Linked DNA regions of Drosophila melanogaster. The protein of the gene in region 4 interacts with the protein of the main gene of each other region in a pairwise test. Each region holds a gene or a part of one and is shown on either strand. Other genes may lie near its edges.

Region 1 (6,276 bases), on a different chromosome or scaffold from region 4:
GCGTGAAGACAACAGGTATAAAGGAGTCCGAGACTCCAATATGCAAAGTTCCTCCAAGAGAATTCACCTTTACTCACTTATTCTAGTTTTGCCTTGAGCGACGAGGAGACCGAGGGCGAATTCCCATTTGTGCGCGGAAAGCTCTTCAAGATCGCTTTTGGGCTCGGGGATCGGGCTTTCCTGATCGCCGTCAACGGGCAGTACTTCACCTACTACAACTTTCCCGGACGCCCCTTCTCCATATCCACTCTGAAGTGCTTCACCAACGAAGTGGGCGACTTCGCCGTGCGGAGCCTGGAGTACCACTCCGATTCTCCGCTTCTGGCCCGCGTGGAGAAGTTGTCCATCATTTAATCGATTCGAGTTCTCGTAGTATGCTCTTTGTTCAATCGTTGGCTTTGATCACCGTACAGCACCAGTTAACTTCTTCTTGTGAGCATCCAAATAAAGCAAAGCAGCTCTCCAAACTACAATCTCCTCAATAATCATCAACCAATAGGCAGGTTCCTTTGGATATAATTTTATTAAAACAAATTATTGCCGTCGCCTCCCCTTTTCGCCTGGATGAGCATCAGCTTAAGCATCCGCCTCAGCAGGAGCCACGTGCTGCTCAACAGCTCCCGTCTGGAGCTCCACTTAGGTTAGTCTTAAGGTTAGTTCTGGTTTGCACACTCCTGCGAGCGAGTGCAAGGTATTGGAGCCAATCCGATCGCTAGTGACCAGGACTAGCATCCTAGACGGAACTGCTGATGTCTGTCTCTCTATAACGCTAGATCCTCACTACGGAATATGTGTATATGTATATGGTGATCGCATCTCGATCCTAGAAGTAGCGGAACTCGCCCTTCTTGCCCAGATGCTTGCTGCGCATCATGTCGGTGGGATCCGGCGATCGCTGTTCCATGCCGGGATTATCCTGGGTAATGTAGAGCGGTTAGCAAGTCCCATCATGAATTGAGTGACCAGCCTTACTCACCCCTGATCGCGATTTGTTGCCCGGACCTGTGGGACCCGTCGGTGGCTGCTGCTGTTGCCCGTAGAACTGGGCTCCATCTCCATCCCCGAAATTGAAGGGGGTTACAATCGTGTGCGGCACGTGGGCCACCTGACCCCGCATGTTGCGCGCCTTCCACCACTTTCGGGTATCATCAAGGATCTAAAGTTTCGAAGAGATGGTTATAGGACAGAACGAAGGATGGTAACGTGGGTGCTGGCCTTACCTCCAAGTATTCGCCTCGCATCACGCTAAGCTCCTTGTCGTTGTTGGCGGTTCGCGGATAGGTGACCAGCACAATCTTAGCGCCCGTCGCCTGCAGATCCTCCAGCCAGGACTCGAGCATCTGGTCGTCGCTGACATTCGGCAGGCCTCTGCCTCCACCGCCCAACTCCGACGAAGGCCCCGGACCAGCTCCTGCTCCGTACCCGTTTCCACTGCGAGATTCCCTCGTATGCAGATTCTGCAGACCAGCTGTGATGGCGCTAAGGGTTGGTCCAGCTCCTGGTCCGTGGCCATGACCATGGCCATGTCCCGCTGCTCCGCCGCCCCTGCCTTCGATCGAGTCGAACGACAGCTCGCTGCGGGCGTTAAAGTCAGACGCACTGATTGCGCCCGCCCGCTCTCTGTCGCGCTCCCTTTCCCGCTCCCTTAAACCGTCGTTGCCGTGGTGGATGGTGTACTTCTCGATACCCATGGCCATGTTCATCCCGTTCCCCGAGTCGTAGTCATCGTATCCGCCTCCCCCACGACCATTTAGTCCGGATCCAGCCTGGACCTCGAGTCTGCGCTTGCTCACATGAGCGGGCGGGGAATTTGGTGGTGGCTCCAGTTCATCGTTGATCAAATAGTCCGGTGACCAGCCATCGAGGAAGACCGGATGGTAGGATCCAACGTCATCCTTCCACTGATCTCGCGGGATCACCCAGGCATCGCCCAACGAGCGCCACAGCTCCGTTTCCTTGCTGGTTACACAGTTGATGAGCAGGTTGATGGCCTCTCTGGTCAGCAGGGGATTAACCACACGGGCCGGTAGCTGTGACTCGTAGTACGTGTCGCTGGAGGCCTCCACAATCAGAGCCAGCGGCGTGAAGAGGAAATGCACCAGTTCGGGAGCGTTGGGATCGTGGATGTGCGCCTTCAACTTTGCCAGCAGGTTAAATGACAGCTTAAACTTGGCAAAGATGTCCACGAACTCCTTCTCGTGGGGAGGCCGTGTCCTCAAAGTGAGCAATCCCTCCCCCGGATCCCTTTTCTTCGACTTCCGATTGCGACGACGGCGCTCGAGCTCCCGGGAAGCGGCGGCGGCGTGCTGAAGACGAGCTATGAACTTCTCGATGTCATCGAAACAGTGATTCAGCACAGCCACATCCCGCTCGTACTTCTCGCTGGACGTGGAGCTAGTCTCATCGCGCTCCGTTGCGCCACCGCCCCCAATCCCACCGTGTTCCGAATCCGTCTCGCCACTAATGTGGGCAACGTCATCGCCAGAAACTCCTACTCCGGCACGGATTCCATACTGTTCCATGCTGCTCCTTTGGTGCATGTGATGGTGGCTTTCGCGCTCACGGTCTCGATCACGCTCCCTCTCGCGCTCTGCCCGCTGCTCCCTGTGCTGGTGCAGCTCCACTCTACTATGCGACGAGGACGAGGAGGTTTTGCTCATCATCATGGCCATGCTGGAGGCTCCTCCGCCTCCTGATTGAGTGGGTGTGGCACCGCGCTGCTGCGTTATCATCTTGCCGCTTCTCAGCTGCTTCAGATCCTCAACCAGGTGAACGGCGGACACACTTTGTGACTGCAGGGATAAATCATTTGAATGAAACTGTCATGAGACAGAAGCCTCACTAATTCTCACCTGGAATATGTGCATCTCGGAGCGAGAACCACCGCCTCCGGATACGATAAAGACCAGAATGTTGTTGTATAGCTCCATGGCGTCATTCGAGGTGAATGCGGTGGGCTCCTGAACCAAGGAGGCGGGGAATCTTTCGATTATGTTCTGTAAGGCAAGGATGAAGATGAGTTCCATAAGGATCTTTCCCAGTTTGTGAAACGTACCCCTGTTTCATAGTCCATAATTAGCACCCACTGATAGTCCAGGCAGAGCTGCATCTTCTGCGACCAAATACCCGTGGTCTTCTCCAGCTGAAGGAGGCGACGCATTCCGTCCGCCGGATACACAATGCCGGACTCCTTGTTGACCGTGAAGGTGGCCAGGTGTTCCAGCAGGTAGGTGGGCTTGTCGTGCAAGTCACTCTCCAGACGCTCCCGCTCCTCGCCGCCTCCGCTGCGATCGTCTCCGGAATAGTCTCCTCCTCCGCCGCCGCCTCCATGGGCACCGCCTCCTCTTAGGCTTCCGCTACTGTTTCCAGCACTGCCGCCTCCGTTCGAGTGGTGGTTCACCATGGTGTCTCCCAATCCCGGTACAGGCTTCGATCGACGTCTGAAGCTCCGTCTAAAAATAAAATTTTTTCACATCATCATCATCGTCAACAATTTTGTATATCGGTCTTTGATTCGTTTAAAATATAAGTTACCGTTTAAATGATGAACTTAGTAGCTTAAACATTGATTAAAAGTTTTGATCGTTACCAACTTATACTTTTGCTTCTTAGGTCGAGTTGAACTATCGTCATTTGAAAATAATATTTAGAATTATGTGTATGCTTTTAATAATCCCATTTAATCGCTTATTCCAATGACTAAAACATTATATCGTGACTGCTGTCGAAAAACATGTTTAACTTGATTAGAATAGTATTCCCAAAACTAAATTTCCTATTGGCAGGGGTGTGGTTAAGCCCCTTGGAAGTCTGGTTCCCAATTTGGTCTCTCAAGACCTTAAAGCCTCCGCTGACCGAGTCTTCGAGCTGAAATCTTATGAGTGTCGAATACGAAAATTGGTCCTAAAGTATGTGTTAGATCATTATGCTGTGTTTATTTTGTGCAGCTGAGACTAAGTCCCTCTGCATCCGAAGGCCCCTAATCCCGCCAAGCCACTTGGATATTGCGCAGCCAATCGTCTCTGACTCAGACCGCATTCCGATTCCAAGCCTCCACTAGCGTTGGCATACACACTCCAAGCGATCCGCACATGGCCGCAATTATTCTCAAACTTTAACATTTCGTTGTTGGCTTGGATCAGCATTGGAATTCAAAAATCGCGCTACTTCCACTTCCCCAGGTTCTCCTCTAAGCTCGGTGTCTCCACTTTGACTACACAGAGAATATCTTTGGATAGTTTACTTCCGATTATATTCATCTTATTTGTATTAACAGCAGCAAATTGTATTGCATTGTAGATGTAATAGAGAGTAATTGTAGAGTAATAGCTCTTATCTTCAAAAATTAGGCCAACTATGGTTCTATGTCACAGTAACATTCTTTTCAACACTCGGATAAATCTCTCTTATTTTTTCTGTGTAGCCAGTGAACACACCTGCAAAAGACACACACACACACGTAAAACTGAGATTTGCAAACACACTTTCTCGCTCCCTCTCGCTCTAACCCTCGCAGACTCTATCCAAACCGCTCCCTCGACTCAAGTGACAGCAACAACTTTTCCGCTGTTTTAGGCTGGGCTCAGACGCCGACTGCGACGCGGGCAGCGGTGTCGCATACCTATCTACACTAAGCAAAAATCGCTACTGTTTTTATAAAGATATTGAAAATCATTATAATAATCCTATGGCGAGAAAGTCTCTAGAATGTAGTTCTAACCATTTTTAAATGTTAACAACATTTTCCATGATAGAAACACCCCCAAGTTTGTCGATTGTTTTCAGTGTATCAATCCAGCAGTGTCGCAGGGTCAATGGACAGGGGAAAGGGGGTGTTGGGTGCTTGTGTACTTGCAAACAGGTGAAAGAGAAACTGCAGAGGGGGTCAGCTGGAGGCACTATCTGCTTACGATCTTGTACAAGCCAAAATCGCAGTAAACAAACAAGCGAAGTGCACGTAAAAAAGAAAACACTGACCCACTACACCCCTGGAAATGTTTTGTTTTCGTTAAGTTGCGCCGCTGTGTTATATTTCAGCGTTTTACTGTTCGTACAAGCCCCAAATTGCATCACACTTGTGGAATTTGACAGATTTGTGTTTTCGCTCCTAACTCTACAGCAGCTTAGAGGCCAATGACGAAACGCGATAAACATTATCGCACTTGGGTAACATGGAAATAGTTGGGCTTGCATAAATCATGCTTTAGAGAAAGTACTAAAGCTGCTGGGTGATTTGAAGTTAAGTTAAGTCATCATAAACATCTACAAAAACATTATGCTAAATGAAATACATATATGTTTATAATATAAGTATTACTACTTTTGTACTTCTATAATCTTGAAATATTTGCAATCCACACATATGTATCTATGCATCTGTAAATAGGGGAAAATTATAAGCCTCGGTAAGGCAATCTAAGATACATAACTGCACTGGTATCTAAGAACTCCCCGACAAGAACCATAAACCTGGAGACATGCCCCAAGCATAGCTTCCATTCAGGTGAAGATAATTAATTGGGTCCTGATAAGCGTGAGATGGGGTGTTAGAGCCTCAAATAATTCAGACAGCTGGGATTTAGATAAAACGGCGGCGTGCGGTACACTTGCTTTTTTATTTTATCTCGCATACTTTTTGGTTTACGAAGCAAATGGCAAAACAACAAATGACAATAGTTGTTTTTGCTGTTCTTTGGGTGGAAACCCGCTCGTTAGATGGTGGTGGGCTGGAGGGGGGTGGAGAGACATCGACACCCCGATCCACACTATTGTCGTCCCCCTCGCGCGCATGCGTGGCAGATAAGCTGACGTCTTTGCTTGCGCTGGTGTGTGCGGCTTGAAAAGGTATTTGTCTCCGTGTCTCGAGCCCCCCGGCACCCGCCACCCCCTCGCCTGTTGCTGCAACTTTAGTTTTTGACCGACCGCATTTTTTAAGCTTTCTTTTCCACCTGTTTTCCGTTTTCCTCTCTCACTGTGCGCTGTTTATATTCCACGAGCCTCTCTCAGACACACACACACACGTCGCCTATAAGCCGCACTCACACAGGTGAGGCTTCACAGTAATGTGCGAGCGCGGATATACAGTGGACCCTCAAATAAGTAATCTAATTGAAAATAACATCCTTGAAGCTCTTTAGGCAATTATTTAAATTAATAATCTAACCAATTTCAAATGATTGAACTTAGTATATGTTCCAGATTTCCCGCAATCGAGTATTACTTCACCGACGCATTACTGTATGTACAAAAGTGGGAGCGGCGGCAGGTTTCGTATTG
Region 2 (4,911 bases), about 10 Mb from region 4:
CCGGTGTTTTTCATATTTGTATGTAAGTATGTACTTTACCGAACCAAACATTGCAAAGTACATTTTAGTGAGACTAAGTATTCATGAGTGAGATATATTATAGGCATGAGTCATAATCGTTTGCTTGGGTGGACCGACCTATCACAATATCATTTCTATTAAATAATTAGATACATACATTTTGCACAATGAAAATAAATTGTATTTTTGACTTTCAATGCAAAAATATATAAAGACCTCTTTTTAAAATTAATGAATTTTTTTTATTAATATCTATTTATTCATAGGTTTTTTCATCAATATGTAAAAAAATAATAACAAAACTATTAACAATGAACGAGAAAAACAACTAAGTTTCCAAGTTTGCACAGATTTGACACTGTCAAGAAATTTTTTGCACAAAGTACTTAAGCTATCTTAGACTTATAGTTCATAAGAAATTATAATAACTTGAGGTAATTCTAATACTTTGCATGCATACCCTTAGCATTAATAAAATATTGCAGAAGTTTTTTCATTGAAAAAATAACTTTTCAAGATCATTTTGTTTTGGGATCTTATATTCTTTGGGTCAAGAACTTTAAACAAAATTAAAAACACAAAAGAACGAGGCATGAGAATGCATGGTTATACTAAATAATAATATATGTACGCATCTGTATGTATGTATGTATGTATGCATTAGCCCAAGGGAGTGATTTAGTTGGAAGTCTTTTAAATTTCAGAGCAAATGCATTCATTTTCTAGATTGTTTGGCCTTTAAAAATAATAGACTGTGAACCCCACGACAATCCAAAAATCGTTGAGATGTGAACTTGGGAAATTTCTTCACGTTCTTTCTCTTTCGTACAGCTCATTCGCCCACATTTGAAGAGAAGAGCTTTCTTGTCGTGGTATTAGTAAGCTCTCTTTGAATGTGTGCTCAGATAAAAGCTGTTGAATTCTCGAAATCGAAAAGCTCTGCGTACGTACGTATGCATGTATGTATAACAGCTTTAACTGATAATTTAGAAATCCATGAGTCATGCTGATAAATATAAAGCGCAAAATGAGCTTCAGCGGTTGGCAAAAACTGTCATCATGTGATATTTGTAATGGGCCTGATCTGCAGACACAAATACAATATAACCAAGGGGGGGGGGGGTCATTTTGATTATTTGCCCACGTCCTCTGATTTTAGCCCCCAAAGCTGAGGAGCTTAAATGCCAGTCCACATATGCGTGCAAAAATATGTGACTTTCAAACGACAATCTTGCGCAGCGCACCGACTGGCACGAGCTCTTGGAATATCGAAGACGACCATCAACAATGGACGCCCTCAGTTGGCAAATTAACAAAATAAATGGCCAACACGTAGCGATTCGTTCAATCTTTTCACGATGAGTGCGCATTTTTCGATTCCACGAAATGGGAATGGAAAGGTAGGGCGTTTTGCATGTGTAGATGAATAGCAATTGATCTACAAAGCCCCTTCCTTGTTCGATTTGATTATCTTATCTTATCACTTTTATCTGAAACGTGATCTACATATGTACATACAATATAGTGTGGTGGTAGCTAAAAGTGTATGACTAAGTTTAAAGTGATTTTTTGCAACAAGCAGTTGTCTGGCATATCCAAAAATGTGTTTTTTTAAGCTGTTTCGGTGTGCTCAGTCTCTAAAGTTTTAAATTAGTAAAGCCAAAGATTTTTGTATCTTCCCTACCATATATGCATGAATGTCTGTAACTCAACAGGTCACCATTATTAATTATTTAGTAATCATCCTAAAGATACAAAATTTAAGACTAGTTACTTAACTAATAATATAGAATAAGATATAAGACAGAATCCGGTTTAGAAACCCCATATAAATTTATTATTTTAAGCGTCACGTTTTCACATGTAATCAAAACACCTATCAAAACAACGCCCTACAAAAGTTCACGATTACTATAGGCCTATAGGTAGGTGGCCTCATCTATCTATGTATACTCGACGTGAAGTGTACCCAGTGTCAATGACACCGCCAGCAACAAAGTTGTGGCAACAAATGTTGCTGGCTTTGGGAAAATGAGAAATGTGGCCAGTAGTTGCTTACCCTCCATCATGTTGCTGCCACGTTGAGCAGGTTCCAATGATGACGGCACTAATATGATCTTGATCCTTGTTGCTCCTTATCTCCGGTGACTATTTGACTTATTCGAATCGGTTTCAAAAGAAAGTGCGGCGACTAAAGCGACGGCGGTTAAAGTCACGCTTCTTTCGTAGCAACTTGGAGCGTCGTAGGATCTTAGTGCCCGTAGTGCCACCAGTGCCGGTGCCGATCGTGGAGGTCTCGATATTGATTGAATTGTTGCAATAAAACTTATTGTTATGCCAGCCGCGCATACGCATACACATAAAGTTGTTGAGCATGGGAACCTGCTGCTGCGAATGTTGCACACACATGAAGACAACGACAGGCGAATGTTGCATGACGTTCTTAGGCGACGCGATGTTGGATTTCCCGCTTTTTCTCGACACTGCTGTTGCTGTTAGTGTTGCACCAACCGCAGGCAGAACGAACATAATATTGGGGCAAAATGCCTTTGAAGTGTTTTTCTCTTTTTTTTTCTTTTTTTTTTTTGGTACGGTCAGCTGTTGCTTCAGTGATACCACTTGTGTAGATCGGGCGTATGCTTAATGTACTCGTCAAGTGTTCGTGTTCACAAGCGCTTATCTATATAGCATCTAGATACAACTGTTATCTGAGATACCGAGATACGAAGTATATATAGAAATTGTTTGTTTAATTTTCGCCAATTTATTGCGTCTCTCGCAAATGTTTTTCAGGCTGTTAATCACTCTGAACTTTGCACTCAAAGTTGAGTTTATCTGGTACGTTTTACACGAAAAGAAATTACTGTTCTATGAATAGGATATCTTTGTAACGAGGTTCAGCGTTTGATGCCATTAAGATGGGATTCTAAAACACGTATCGAAAATTTCACAAATTCCACGCTGATTTGCACACCGAAAGCTCTGTCGTTTGCCTTGACTCACTGAATTGTTGTTCTGTTCGCGACGAAGTATTGTTACTAACTGACTCAACTGCGAGCACTGGACGGCAGCCGCTGGCCGGGGTTGATATAATTTTGCTGACGTCGTTGCCGGTTTCATTCACCGCTCCGTCCATATACCCTTTCCCCACCACCAATATATATTCACATATATTCACACACACGCGCTCTCTCAGCTGCTGTGTCTATTTTCTATGGCCGTGCCCCCAAAACATTTCCACGCGGGGATCTTTTTCTCTCATTATTTTTGTGATGCGGAGGATGGGCCACTCGGATAAGTGGGTGCCTCTACTTCTTAGATACTACTCTACTCTAAAACCCTTAGCTGGTTGAAAGCAGCTGAAAAAGGTGTAAACAATGCATTAGCATCAACTGATTTAAGTTCTGAAAAAAAAAAATTTCCATGTGCTATTAACTTGAGGCAAAGTATTACATACAACACAGTTAAGTTAATATAACAAAAAATATATATATTTTCAATAAACTGTGCAAAACGCAGACAGATTATTCATAGCCGTTCATATTATTTGGCTAGCGACAGTCTGAAAATTGCACAGATAGCATTTCGGTCTAAATTGGCTACAATAGATAAGAGAAGCTAAAAAAAAAGAATAAATTTTACTCTGCACCCAGATAATTTAGAAACGTAGATATTAAGGTTGTAAGTAATAGCAACTATGTTTGCTCACAAAGGGTTAATAAACTGGTATTTAATAAAAAGCCGCGAAACTTAAGTATAGTTCAATACTTTGCGTATTTTTTCGCGCCTAAATATTCATTTATATTCATATGATCATTCACAGGATTTTTAATGTAAATGTAAGTATTTATGGTTACATATGTCACCTATGTCCGCTCCAAAAGGTATAGGGCAACTGGTTTGGCAGCCTGCCATGCAGCAACAACAAACAATACAGATTCGCACTCTTTCTCTCCACGTGAGTGAAACTCTCTCTCGCTGGTTGAGATTGGCTGATGCAACACTTGCCACACGTTGCAACAGCTGTTTTAGTCTGGCCCAGCTGATTCGTATTGTTGGCTTGTTGCCAGAGACTGCGAAAATCTCTTGGCAACATGTTGCCACAACTTTTGGAAAACTCATAGTGTTGTTAAACATGTTGGGCGAAATTTTCACACCGGTGCAGGGCAAAAAGGGGGTGGCTTAAACTGTAGCTGGCTGGCTGGCTTAAATTAGCCGGCCGATGATTCATTTTGGGGGTTGTCCACTTACATAAGATGAGCTCACCCAATGTGAAAACTCTTTAGTCGCTGGAAGAAACTGCGCATTTCGACACAGAAAAGCCTAAACAAGCAGAACGAACATTTGTTTTGTAGATTTATAATTTTTCAAAACATACAATCGCATTGCACTTTGCGATTGGCCTTGACACCCTGACGTGGTTCCATTTGGCGACACTGTTCCTGCTTTTATCTTCTCCATGGCGCAAGATAAAATCAGAAAGTACAACGTGTTGATCACCTAATGGCCAGAGTCATGCAAACCAAACTCTTGGTGATTTAAATCTATTTCCATGTCTGTCACAAAAGAATACTGCTTATTATTATATGGCGGGTTATAATTTACCAAAGTACACAAAATGTTACAATACAATACAGTTGAATATATACTAGTTAAATGTACATATGTTTTATAACAGCTCATTGGCTGTGTTTTAATGGTTTATAAATGTAAAGTGTTTTTAAAGCATTTTAAATTTCAAATGAAACATTTTTTTTGTGGAAGTGCTGTTTTTTATACTGTTCAGATATATCTCACTGATATTTATGATGATTCTTTAATCGTATGACTGTACAGTACCCTCACACTTTAGTTCTCTGTATGGTGTGTTGACTGTAGTCAAACCGCTCC
Region 3 (5,275 bases), on a different chromosome or scaffold from region 4:
CAGAGCGCTCAGTCTCAACGGCATTCAATTCCGCAATAAGTGCACAAATAAGGACTTTGATGATTTCAAGGTTTTTATCTTGCTGTTAAATTTAATTTATCACTGCTAAACATTTTTCCTCCTTTAGAATCCGTTGAGCAATGTTACCTGTCTACTAATGCCACTGTCCAAAGGCTCAAAGGGTTTGAACCTGATCGAAGCCACACATGTTTTCCTCGTCGAACCCATTCTAAATCCGGGAGACGAGCGCCAGGCCATAGGTCGTATTCACCGATTTGGGCAAAAGAGGTGAGTGCGCGCTATTGAAGTGAAGTTGCTGTCAGTTTCAATACAATTGTTTTTAGACCCACGAAGGTGCATCGTTTCATTGTGAATGAAACGATTGAGGAGAATATTCTATCGCTAATTACTTCAGCCGATGACACGACTACGCTGTCGACCCACTGGGATCTGGAGAACATGACACTAGACAGCCTTAAGAAGCTATTCATACTCAAGGAGGAGTAAAACTTATGAATTTAAAACAAAAAATTCCGATTAGATTTAAGCTCTTAATAGGGCAAATTTATTTTTTAAGCTACTTATAAACAATCTTTATATATAAATATATAACTGCCACAATCAATTCATCTATTGAAAAGATGATATTTGACATGCAACCTCTCCATTCAGACCAGAATCATTAAACTTAAGTCGAATTCACATAGGTATTCTGTGTTCTCCTGAATAATGTACAGTATTATTTGTACTACAGTTAAGGACATTATATTAAATAGTATTAAAGAATATTTTCAGCTTAAAACTATATCATATCCATCTTACACACACTGTTCTCATAAGGATTATAAGGTATTGCTTTTCATAAAAAAAACCCAGGATTGATTTACCATCTGTGACAGCGTTAAACGCTGGCCAAATCTCAGACATGATCGATTTTTAAAGCATCCAAAGTGGTGCCATCGGCATGTGCTTTTTGAGCGTAGTAGCCATCGTAGGAGCTTTGCGCCTTGTCAACCTCCTGCTGATGCTGCAACAGTTGCAGTTGCTCGTAGGCAGCCTCCTGAACCTTGCGGCGCTCCTCCTCCGCCAGTCGCTTTACTTCGTTCTCTTCAAACTGCTGCGCCTGGAGTTCAGCGGATGCCGCTGCTCGCTCCGCCGCTGCCTCCTGGTACTCATCGTAGGAGTGCAGGCTGCGGTCACTACTTTCAAGCTTGTGCAGCGACGATAGCTGCTCCTTGGCCGCCTCCGCAATTTCGCGCCGCTTCGCATCCGCCTGGCGCTTCGCCTCTCGCTTGCTGCGTTCCTGCTCTTCCAGCTCCTCGCGAGCGGCATAAAACTTGGGCGAAATGACGGGTGGACGGTTCTCGTGGGTGCGCTGGTGGCGCTTCAGCGCCGTCTCCTGGCGGAAATGGGTGCCGCAGGTCTTGCACTCAAAGGGTTTCTCGCCCGTATGAATCCACTCGTGATGCCTCAACGTTTGAGCCTTTGCGAATCTTTTGGGGCAAAAGCGGCAGGCAAAATCTTTGACCTTTTCGTGGATGATCTTATAGTGCCGCTTCATGTTTCCGATATTGTTGAATCCCTGACCACAACCGGGGCAGATATGTTTGCCCTCCTTCTTGGTAAAGTTCACCTGCGGCGACCACGACGGCACTGAAACAGAGGGTATGGGGTTCACAGCAGTGCCAGCCAACTGCGCCAGATCCACTCGTTGTACACGGCGTGGATCTTTGGGAATGGTGGCCACGGATTCGGCGCACACCTTAAGCAATTCGTCGGCAGCGTTTCGGGACATGATCGGCTCAATGGATATGCCCTCAACTGGTGGCGCGGGTGGATTGTCGAACTGTTCACCAGGCGTCTCGCCCATTTCCACCTGCCGCTGGCGGTAGGTCTCAATAGCACGAAGCACACGCTTCTCATGAGTCTTCAAGTGCTTGGTCAGACTCTTAGGATAGAGAAACTTCTTTCCACAAACCTAAGAATATTAAAAACAAAACGTTGCAATGACGACGCTGGCTTAAAATATCTTTCTACCCTTACCTTGCACTCACAGCGCTTTTCCCCCGTGTGCGTCATCTCGTGGATCTTGCAGGCGTGTGACTTGCCAAAGGTCTTTCCACAGTATTGACACGCATAGTTTTTGATCTTCTCGTGCACGATCTTAATGTGGTTGGCCAGGCTCTGCTTATTGTGCGATGCGTGCTCGCATATGTGGCACTTGAACTTCTTCTCCTGGGTATGCGTCAGTATGTGTGTGTTCCATTCCTGCCTGGTGGTTTTTCCCACGCCACAGTACGGACACACGTAGTTCTTAATGCCCGCATGCCGCATCAGATGATCCTTTAGAGCACTATTGATTACGAACCTTTTGCCACAGATGTTACAGGGGAAAGGCAACTCCTTGCCGTCGTGCTTGTACATGTGCTTCTTGAGCGCCATGGGACAGCGGAATACCTTCTCGCACTCGGTGCAAGGGTAATCCCGTGGGGGCGCCGCTGCCTTGGTGATGCCGTGCATCTTCTTCATGTGAAAGGTGAGCAGGCGTATGCGCGGAAAGGTCTTGCCGCAGCCATCGACATTGCAGGAGTGCACCTCGGATAGCTCCGTGTGGGCGTGGTCGATGTGAAGTCGTAATCCTCCAGCGGTGGTGAAACCTGTAAATGCCAGTGATCAAAACGAGAATGCGATTTGGAGCCATCATTACACACCTTTCCTGCAGGTTTCCACTTTGCACTGGAAGGGCAGCAGGTCGTTGTGGTGCTTCATGTGCTCTTCGTAGCGGATGGCCTTCTTGAACTTTTGGTGACAAATGTGGCAGTCAATGATGCGGTGCAGGTGCCGTTCGCCAGGCGGAATCCTCTTGCGTCGACTCTTTGACTTTTCTCCGTCCTCGTCCTCCTCTTCGGAGCCTGTTGGGAACTCTTGGTCCTCTTCCTTAATTACGGCTGCCTTTGCTTTTGGTATCATCCGCGAATTATCCCGTAAGCGCTGGGCCAAAGGCACATCATCGTCACCATCGCTACTGTTGGGCTCAAAGTCCACATCTTGGTCAATATCTTCTTCGCTCTCCTCCGAGGATTCCGCGGCAAAGATGGTCATCAGATCGGCGGCGTCCAATTCATCTTGCTTCACTTCCTTCTCCACCTGCTCGGCCTCCTTGTCCACGTGCTCCAACATCTTGAACACATCCTCCTCGTTCTCGATCATCTCCATTTTGTGATCCAGTAGCGGATCGAAGTTGATACGATCCTCCTCGTCCTGCCCCACCAGCTCAGGCTCGTTCCCCGCCACGTTGAGCAAATCAAAGTTTTTCATCTGCGCACTCGCTGGCGGGCAAAAGACGTTCCTGGCCACCATGTCCTGGAACTTTTGCACCGAGTCCACGCACAGCTTTTGGAACTCGTGCATATCGTCCAGCCGGCTGAAGCATTGCGCGCACAGACACTTGGGGAAGCCATCCGACTGCTCCACGGCCAGCGAAGTGCAGACACACAGTTTCTTGGCCAATCCGGGTATCAGGAACAGGTCAAAGGATCCTGCGCCGCCGCCATTCTCCGGCAGGCGATTCAGGCAGATGCGGCACACCGCGTGCACCGAGTACTGGGCTGCCTCGGCCTCCTCCTGCATGATGCCTGTTCCAGGGGGAATCTGCTGGCCAAATCCGCGGAATATTAAGCCGAGAAAAACTTTACGCGTCAGACGAACCAAAACAAATACCAAAAAATACCCCACAGTGATGCCAAGTACAAACAGTTATTTAATAGCTAAATTATTAAACCGGCTAGAAATATGGATAGCATCAATAACAAATTTCAAATGTTTTAAAAAATATGTGCCATTTTAAGTGTGATTCTTAATAAATGTATGTATTAACCTAAATTAAATACGTAGTTTTATATGTGTCTCATATAAGTTGCATAGCTAGTGGAATGTAGCTAAAAAACAGACGAGTTGGCAGCATTACAGCTCACCTCTGTCTTGTTTACCAACAATACCCGCTTACCAGCACTGGGGCGAATTTAAAATTCAAATGTTCAATACTTATTACTGTTTATTATATTAAATCATTGTTAAATGAATACAATTAGTAAAGTACAAACTTAAGCAGTTTAAAGGGGGGATTTAAATACAAAAAAGATCAAATTGCAAAGTGACGAAAACTAGTTGGTAATCCTTAGAGAACTATAACTCATATGTCCTTCATAGAAACACATAATGAAATGATCGGAAACGGAGGCCGGGTTTGCTCGCAAGCATTTCCGTTTGATTCTGCCGCTCAAACATGATCCAACTTCAGTGCGTCCACTGAGGTGCCCTCCGCCTCCGCCTTCTGCGCGTAGAAGCCGTCGTAAGTGTTCGACTGCTTCTGCAGCTTGTTTAGCTGCTCGAAGGCAGCCTCCTGGATCTTCCGGAGCTCCGCCTCCGCCTTGCGCTTGGCCTCGTTCTCCTCGATCTGGTAGGCCAGCAGCTCGGCGGTGGCCGCTGCCCTTTCCGCCGCCGGATCCTGGTATTGCTCGAAATTCTTCGGCTGCTGGCGCTTCACCGCGGTGCTGGACTCCGCCTTGGGTCCAGCCGGCTCCTTGGGCTTGCCAGGCGGACGGGGCGGCTTGTCGTGCACCTTCATATGCGTCTTGAGCACCTGCTCCTGCCGGAAATGCTTGCCGCACACCTTGCACTCGTAAGGCTTTTCGCCAGTGTGTATGTACTCGTGGTGCCGCAGGTACTGCTTCTTGGCGAATCTCTTCGGGCAGAAGCGGCAGCAGAAGTCTTTGACCTTTTGATGCACCACCTTGTAGTGCAGCTTCATGTTGCTCACGTGATTGAAGCCCTTGCCGCAGTCCGGGCAGATATGCTGGCCCTCCTTCTTGGTGAAGTTCACTTGCGGCGACCACGAGGGCAGGTTGACCGATGGAATTGGATTGGCCACCGTTCCCGCCAACTGAGCAATGTCCACCCGCTCGACGCGACCACGCAGGTGCGGACTGGGCTTGGCTATTGTCGAGGATCCACTGGCCCCGTCGCCCATTAAGGCATTGGTCCCCTGCGTCTTGGGCAAATCACGCTTCTCGTGCGTCTTCAAATGCTTGGTTAGGCCCTTCTCGAAGAGGAACACCTTGCCGCAGATCTTGCACTCGCAGCACTTTTCGCCGGTATGACTTCTCTCGTGAATCTTGCAGGCGTGCGACTTGCCAAAGGTCTTTCCGCAGTACTGGCAGGCAAAGTCCTTGCGCTTCTCGTGCACCACCTTCACGTGGTTGGCCAGCGCCTGTTT
Region 4 (3,983 bases):
AACTAATCCGCTTCATTTAAGATTCTGTGAGGATCGCTTCTGCACGCCGGCGGAACTTAAGCGTCACATTCGCAAGCATACCGGGGAAAAGCCCTTCAAGTGCAGACACTGTTCCCGCAGCTTTTCTGACTACAGCACTCGGTTGAAGCACGAGCGGACTCACACTAACGAACGACCTTTTGTCTGCAAGGAGTGTAACAATGCCTTCACAACATCCTATATTCTTAAGAACCACATGCTCGTGCATACCGGGGAGAAGGCTTTTAGGTAAGCGGGTACTCGAAATAGTACTTAAGTGTAATAATAATAATCTATTCTATTTGCAGGTGCGACCTCTGCGATAAGTTATTCAGTCGCTACACACACCTTACTACCCATTATCGTTCAAATGCTCACAGACGAAACATGCAGAAAGCAGACACAATCTTTGATAAACCCTAAAAGGTATCACTTAAGAAGCTCTTAGTTGAAAACGGTTGCATTACCAAAATAGGAATTTTTACAAAAAAAATCAAAACGGATAATCAAATTGTGAACTATATTTGGCTTTAAAGGTTGAGATGGACTCATTAAGGTCTAGTTTGTACTATACATTAGAGTGGATGTTTCCAGAGCAGCCAGGCCCAAAGACTCATCCTGCTCCTGCTCCGCGGGCAAAGGCACTTCTATCGTAAAGGCATCCGCCTCTGCTTCTGGCTCCTTTTCCGTCACGAATTTGACCTGATCCGCTGACTGGGATGGTGACAGCTGAACTCCACCCGCGTCTGCCATCGATTTCTCCAAGTTGTGCTTATGAGTGTTAGAGCGGAAGTGAGTCTTCAAGTGGGTGGGTCGCGCAAAGGATCGATGGCACAGCTCACATCTGCAAAGGATCGGCTAGGTGATCATTAACTTAAGCACTATTTATCATAGTTTACTAGCCTGAACAGGCGCTCGCCCGTGTGGATAAGCATGTGGTTCTTGAGGATGTAGGAATTGGTAAAGCTCTTGCCGCACTGCGCACAAATAAAGGGTCGATCATTTGTGTGGGTCCGCTCGTGACGCAGGCGACCACTGTAGTTGACGTAGGTGCGGTCACAGTAACGACACTGGAACTTGCGATCTCCAGTGTGCATCACTTGGTGTCCTTTCAGCTCACCGGAGGACAGGAAGCGGGCGGGGCAGAGTCTACATGAGAGCAATGTTACACAGTTAACTATCAGATTGTACAATTGACGAGCTAAAGCTTTTCTTACTCGCACTGAAAGGGCCTAATTCCGCTGTGTTTGCGTAGGTGACGGTCGAAGGAGGACTTCCCTGTAATATTGTTGCCGCACTGATCGCAAAAGAAAACTGGAAGCGTAACCTTTGTGCGATTTTCACCTTTCCCGCCTTTCTTAAGTCCCCGACGTCGGGTTCTTTTCAATCTGACCGGTGAGGTAGTTCCATCATCTTCGGTAGAGCTGGACATCGCTTTAATGGCCAGCTCCATGTCTGCTTCGTTGCAGGAGTCCAGGTGATCGATGCCATCATCCTCCTCATCGCCATTGCTCAGGCTCTCCAGCTTAATCATTACCTCCAGCGGACTTGCTGGCGTCTTTGGAGCGGTGTCTTCATGCCGCTGTCTTTGGGAACGGGCACTGCGACGAACTGAGGAGCGGAATGTGTCCTCTTCATTCCTGACCAGCGACTCTTCAAAGATCTTCTGACTCCTCAAGCAGCGATCACGAAAGGATATGGCGCTTTTCAAATCCGTCTGGCAGGTCTCGCACATCCAGTCGGGTAAACCGGGTTCGCATTGCAGCTGCCAAATAAGATACAACATTTTAATTGAAGGAATTAATGTGTTTCGTAGGGTAGGCTTACCAGAACACCGGTGAGCAAATTGATTTGTTGCAGCACTTTGCAGGCGCCGCTGTTAAATAGTTTCAACGATTTCGAGTTGTCCGTGCTGCTGGCACACACGCGGCACACATTTTGCAGCATTTTACCAGCTTACTCGATTCTAATTAGTAAATTTCCAATTGTAAACAAGACAGCCACCCAAAACTGATTTGCCATTTGCCACGAAGCAGCGCACTAGCTTTTCCACCTGAGACGTTGTCCAGCACTGGCGACTTATAAAACCACTAAATCGTAACGGCTGCTACTAATTAAAATCAAACAATCTATACAAATTTTTTGTTTTCTGTGTCCTACACACTTAAAAGCATTAGCATTTATTTCATTTTGAGAAACAGGTGTGGTGCAAATATTGAGTATACAACTTAAATTCATAAAAATACGATAAGATAAAAATAAGATAGTCCCCTTTTGGGTATCTTTTTATCTCAAGGAGCATGTAAATCTTATTATTTCATAGCTTGAGCTATTTAATCCTTCATGACTTCTGCTTCTTGACATTTTGGAGGTGCATCATGGATCTGGTGTGCGTTACCAGGTGCGCCTTTCTCTGGAAGGAGCGATCGCAAATATCGCATCGGAAATTCCTCTCGCCCGTGTGGATGACCATGTGGTTCTTTAGGACGTAGGCAGTGGTGAACTTCTTGCCACACTCTTCGCACACATAGGGTCGATCGTTGGTGTGAGTCCGCTCGTGGATCAGCCGGCCCATGTAGCTGACATACCGCTTTTCGCAGAAGCGACAGGCAAACGGTTGCTCCCCAGTATGTACCCGGTGGTGGGCACGTAGTTCGCCAGCAGAGAGAAACCTGGCATCACAATCCCTAAAAAGAGAATATGGAATCAGCATACCGAACCTACAGTTGTAATCTGTGAGCGAGGTTTACTTGCAGCCAAATGGTCGTTCGCCTCTGTGTTTTCTCATGTGGCGCTGGAAAGTGGGTTTCGATGTGGCATGAGTCCCGCACAGCTCGCATATGTAAATCTGATCATCCAGTTTGGTTGATACTTTGATAATCTTTTGTGAAGGTACACACTTCTCATCTATTCCATCTTCCCTCAGCTGCGCTTTCGCATCTCTATTCAGAGTTTTGTCCATGGGCTCCTCTTCAATCAGTACCTGAAAAGTTTCTTCAACCAACTCGCCTTCTTTCTTTTTCCCAAAATCGCTGAATGCGCATTTTTCCGATTCCAGTTCCGAATTGTCATTGGTATCTTCATCACCCGACGAAGAGTCGTCCTCGATGGTTAGCCATTTAGTTTGGGTCTTAATGCAAAGCTTCCGGAATGCCAATGCCGATCTGAGTTCCGCCTGACAGCAAAGGCACATGAAACCAGGAACATCGTCCAAATCCACCAACTGGTGCTGATATTATTTATCTCAATTTTAAAACGTCTTTTAACTCACTCTTAGTCCGCTTATCATGTGCAAGTGCTTTAGATATTTTCGGTTGACCAAATCGAAGAGATTCAGGCTCTTCTCACAGATTTTCTGCCTTCCGCAGACTCTACACACGATGTTCAGCATCTCGATCACTAAACTCGACTGATGGAAAGGCAATTGTATGGTGATTACATTTTGAGGCAAACCAGATAAATTATTCATTCAAGGCGGGGATTTTTGAAAGTCAAAATCTTTATTTAAATAGCTATTGATCTGTTAACAACTGGAGCAGTCTGATAAAACAGATACTGCTTATAATATTAAAACTTAATAATAGGTGTAAATAATATTGGTCAAATCGTTAAGCTGAACCATTTCATGGGTGCTTGAAATAAGTACGACCTGCATGCTAATAATGCGCAGGATCAATTTTTGAAAACAAAACATATAGCTTCATATTTCTGTTTCGGTAAATCGAAATAATCCACGTAAAATGTTTCGTAAAATGTATTTCGAAAAAGATTTGATTCTAAATTCAATGTTCATTTTTGTACCTCATGTCTGAATATATTTTATTTTAAAACTAGCCCAATAAAGTATGTATGTATAAGATAAGACTATATAGGCACTTTTGTTATATTCAAGGAAGCAATTGCAATGCAGATGTAAATTACGCAAAAAAAAATAGCAAAAACTAAAATTTGCAATAACATGGCCA

What was found.
Region 1: the proteins of CG8159 (region 4) and aru interact in a two-hybrid assay, tested with the Drosophila melanogaster proteins (one large-scale study listed by BioGRID).
Region 2: the proteins of CG8159 (region 4) and Xrp1 interact in a two-hybrid assay, tested with the Drosophila melanogaster proteins (one large-scale study listed by BioGRID).
Region 3: the proteins of CG8159 (region 4) and CG10274 interact in a two-hybrid assay, tested with the Drosophila melanogaster proteins (one large-scale study listed by BioGRID).

What each region holds. Positions count from the first base shown.
Region 1 is NT_033779.5:861,343-867,618, forward strand, and holds aru (arouser), read right to left. Parts: upstream 4,520-6,276; 5' UTR 4,485-4,519; intron 3,719-4,484; 5' UTR 3,567-3,718; coding exon 3,535-3,566; intron 3,453-3,534; coding exon 3,056-3,452; intron 2,997-3,055; coding exon 2,853-2,996; intron 2,793-2,852; coding exon 1,221-2,792; intron 1,157-1,220; coding exon 977-1,156; intron 917-976; coding exon 824-916; 3' UTR 507-823; downstream 1-506. Other genes in the region: CG13950 (uncharacterized protein), read left to right, coding at 1-15, 87-354.
Region 2 is NT_033777.3:18,913,095-18,918,005, reverse strand, and holds the start of Xrp1 (Xrp1), read right to left. Parts: upstream 3,039-4,911; 5' UTR 2,081-3,038; intron 1-2,080.
Region 3 is NT_037436.4:6,178,138-6,183,412, forward strand, and holds CG10274 (uncharacterized protein), read right to left. Parts: upstream 3,693-5,275; 5' UTR 3,631-3,692; coding exon 2,712-3,630; intron 2,658-2,711; coding exon 2,044-2,657; intron 1,979-2,043; coding exon 920-1,978; 3' UTR 540-919; downstream 1-539. Other genes in the region: CG7376 (uncharacterized protein), read left to right, coding at 1-70, 128-288, 345-507; D19B, read right to left, coding at 4,280-5,275.
Region 4 is NT_033777.3:8,724,910-8,728,892, reverse strand, and holds CG8159 (uncharacterized protein), read right to left. Parts: upstream 2,040-3,983; 5' UTR 1,966-2,039; coding exon 1,846-1,965; intron 1,784-1,845; coding exon 1,236-1,783; intron 1,168-1,235; coding exon 922-1,167; intron 863-921; coding exon 577-862; 3' UTR 523-576; downstream 1-522. Other genes in the region: ranshi, read left to right, coding at 22-267, 327-441; ouib (ouija board), read right to left, coding at 2,360-2,705, 2,769-3,241, 3,290-3,409.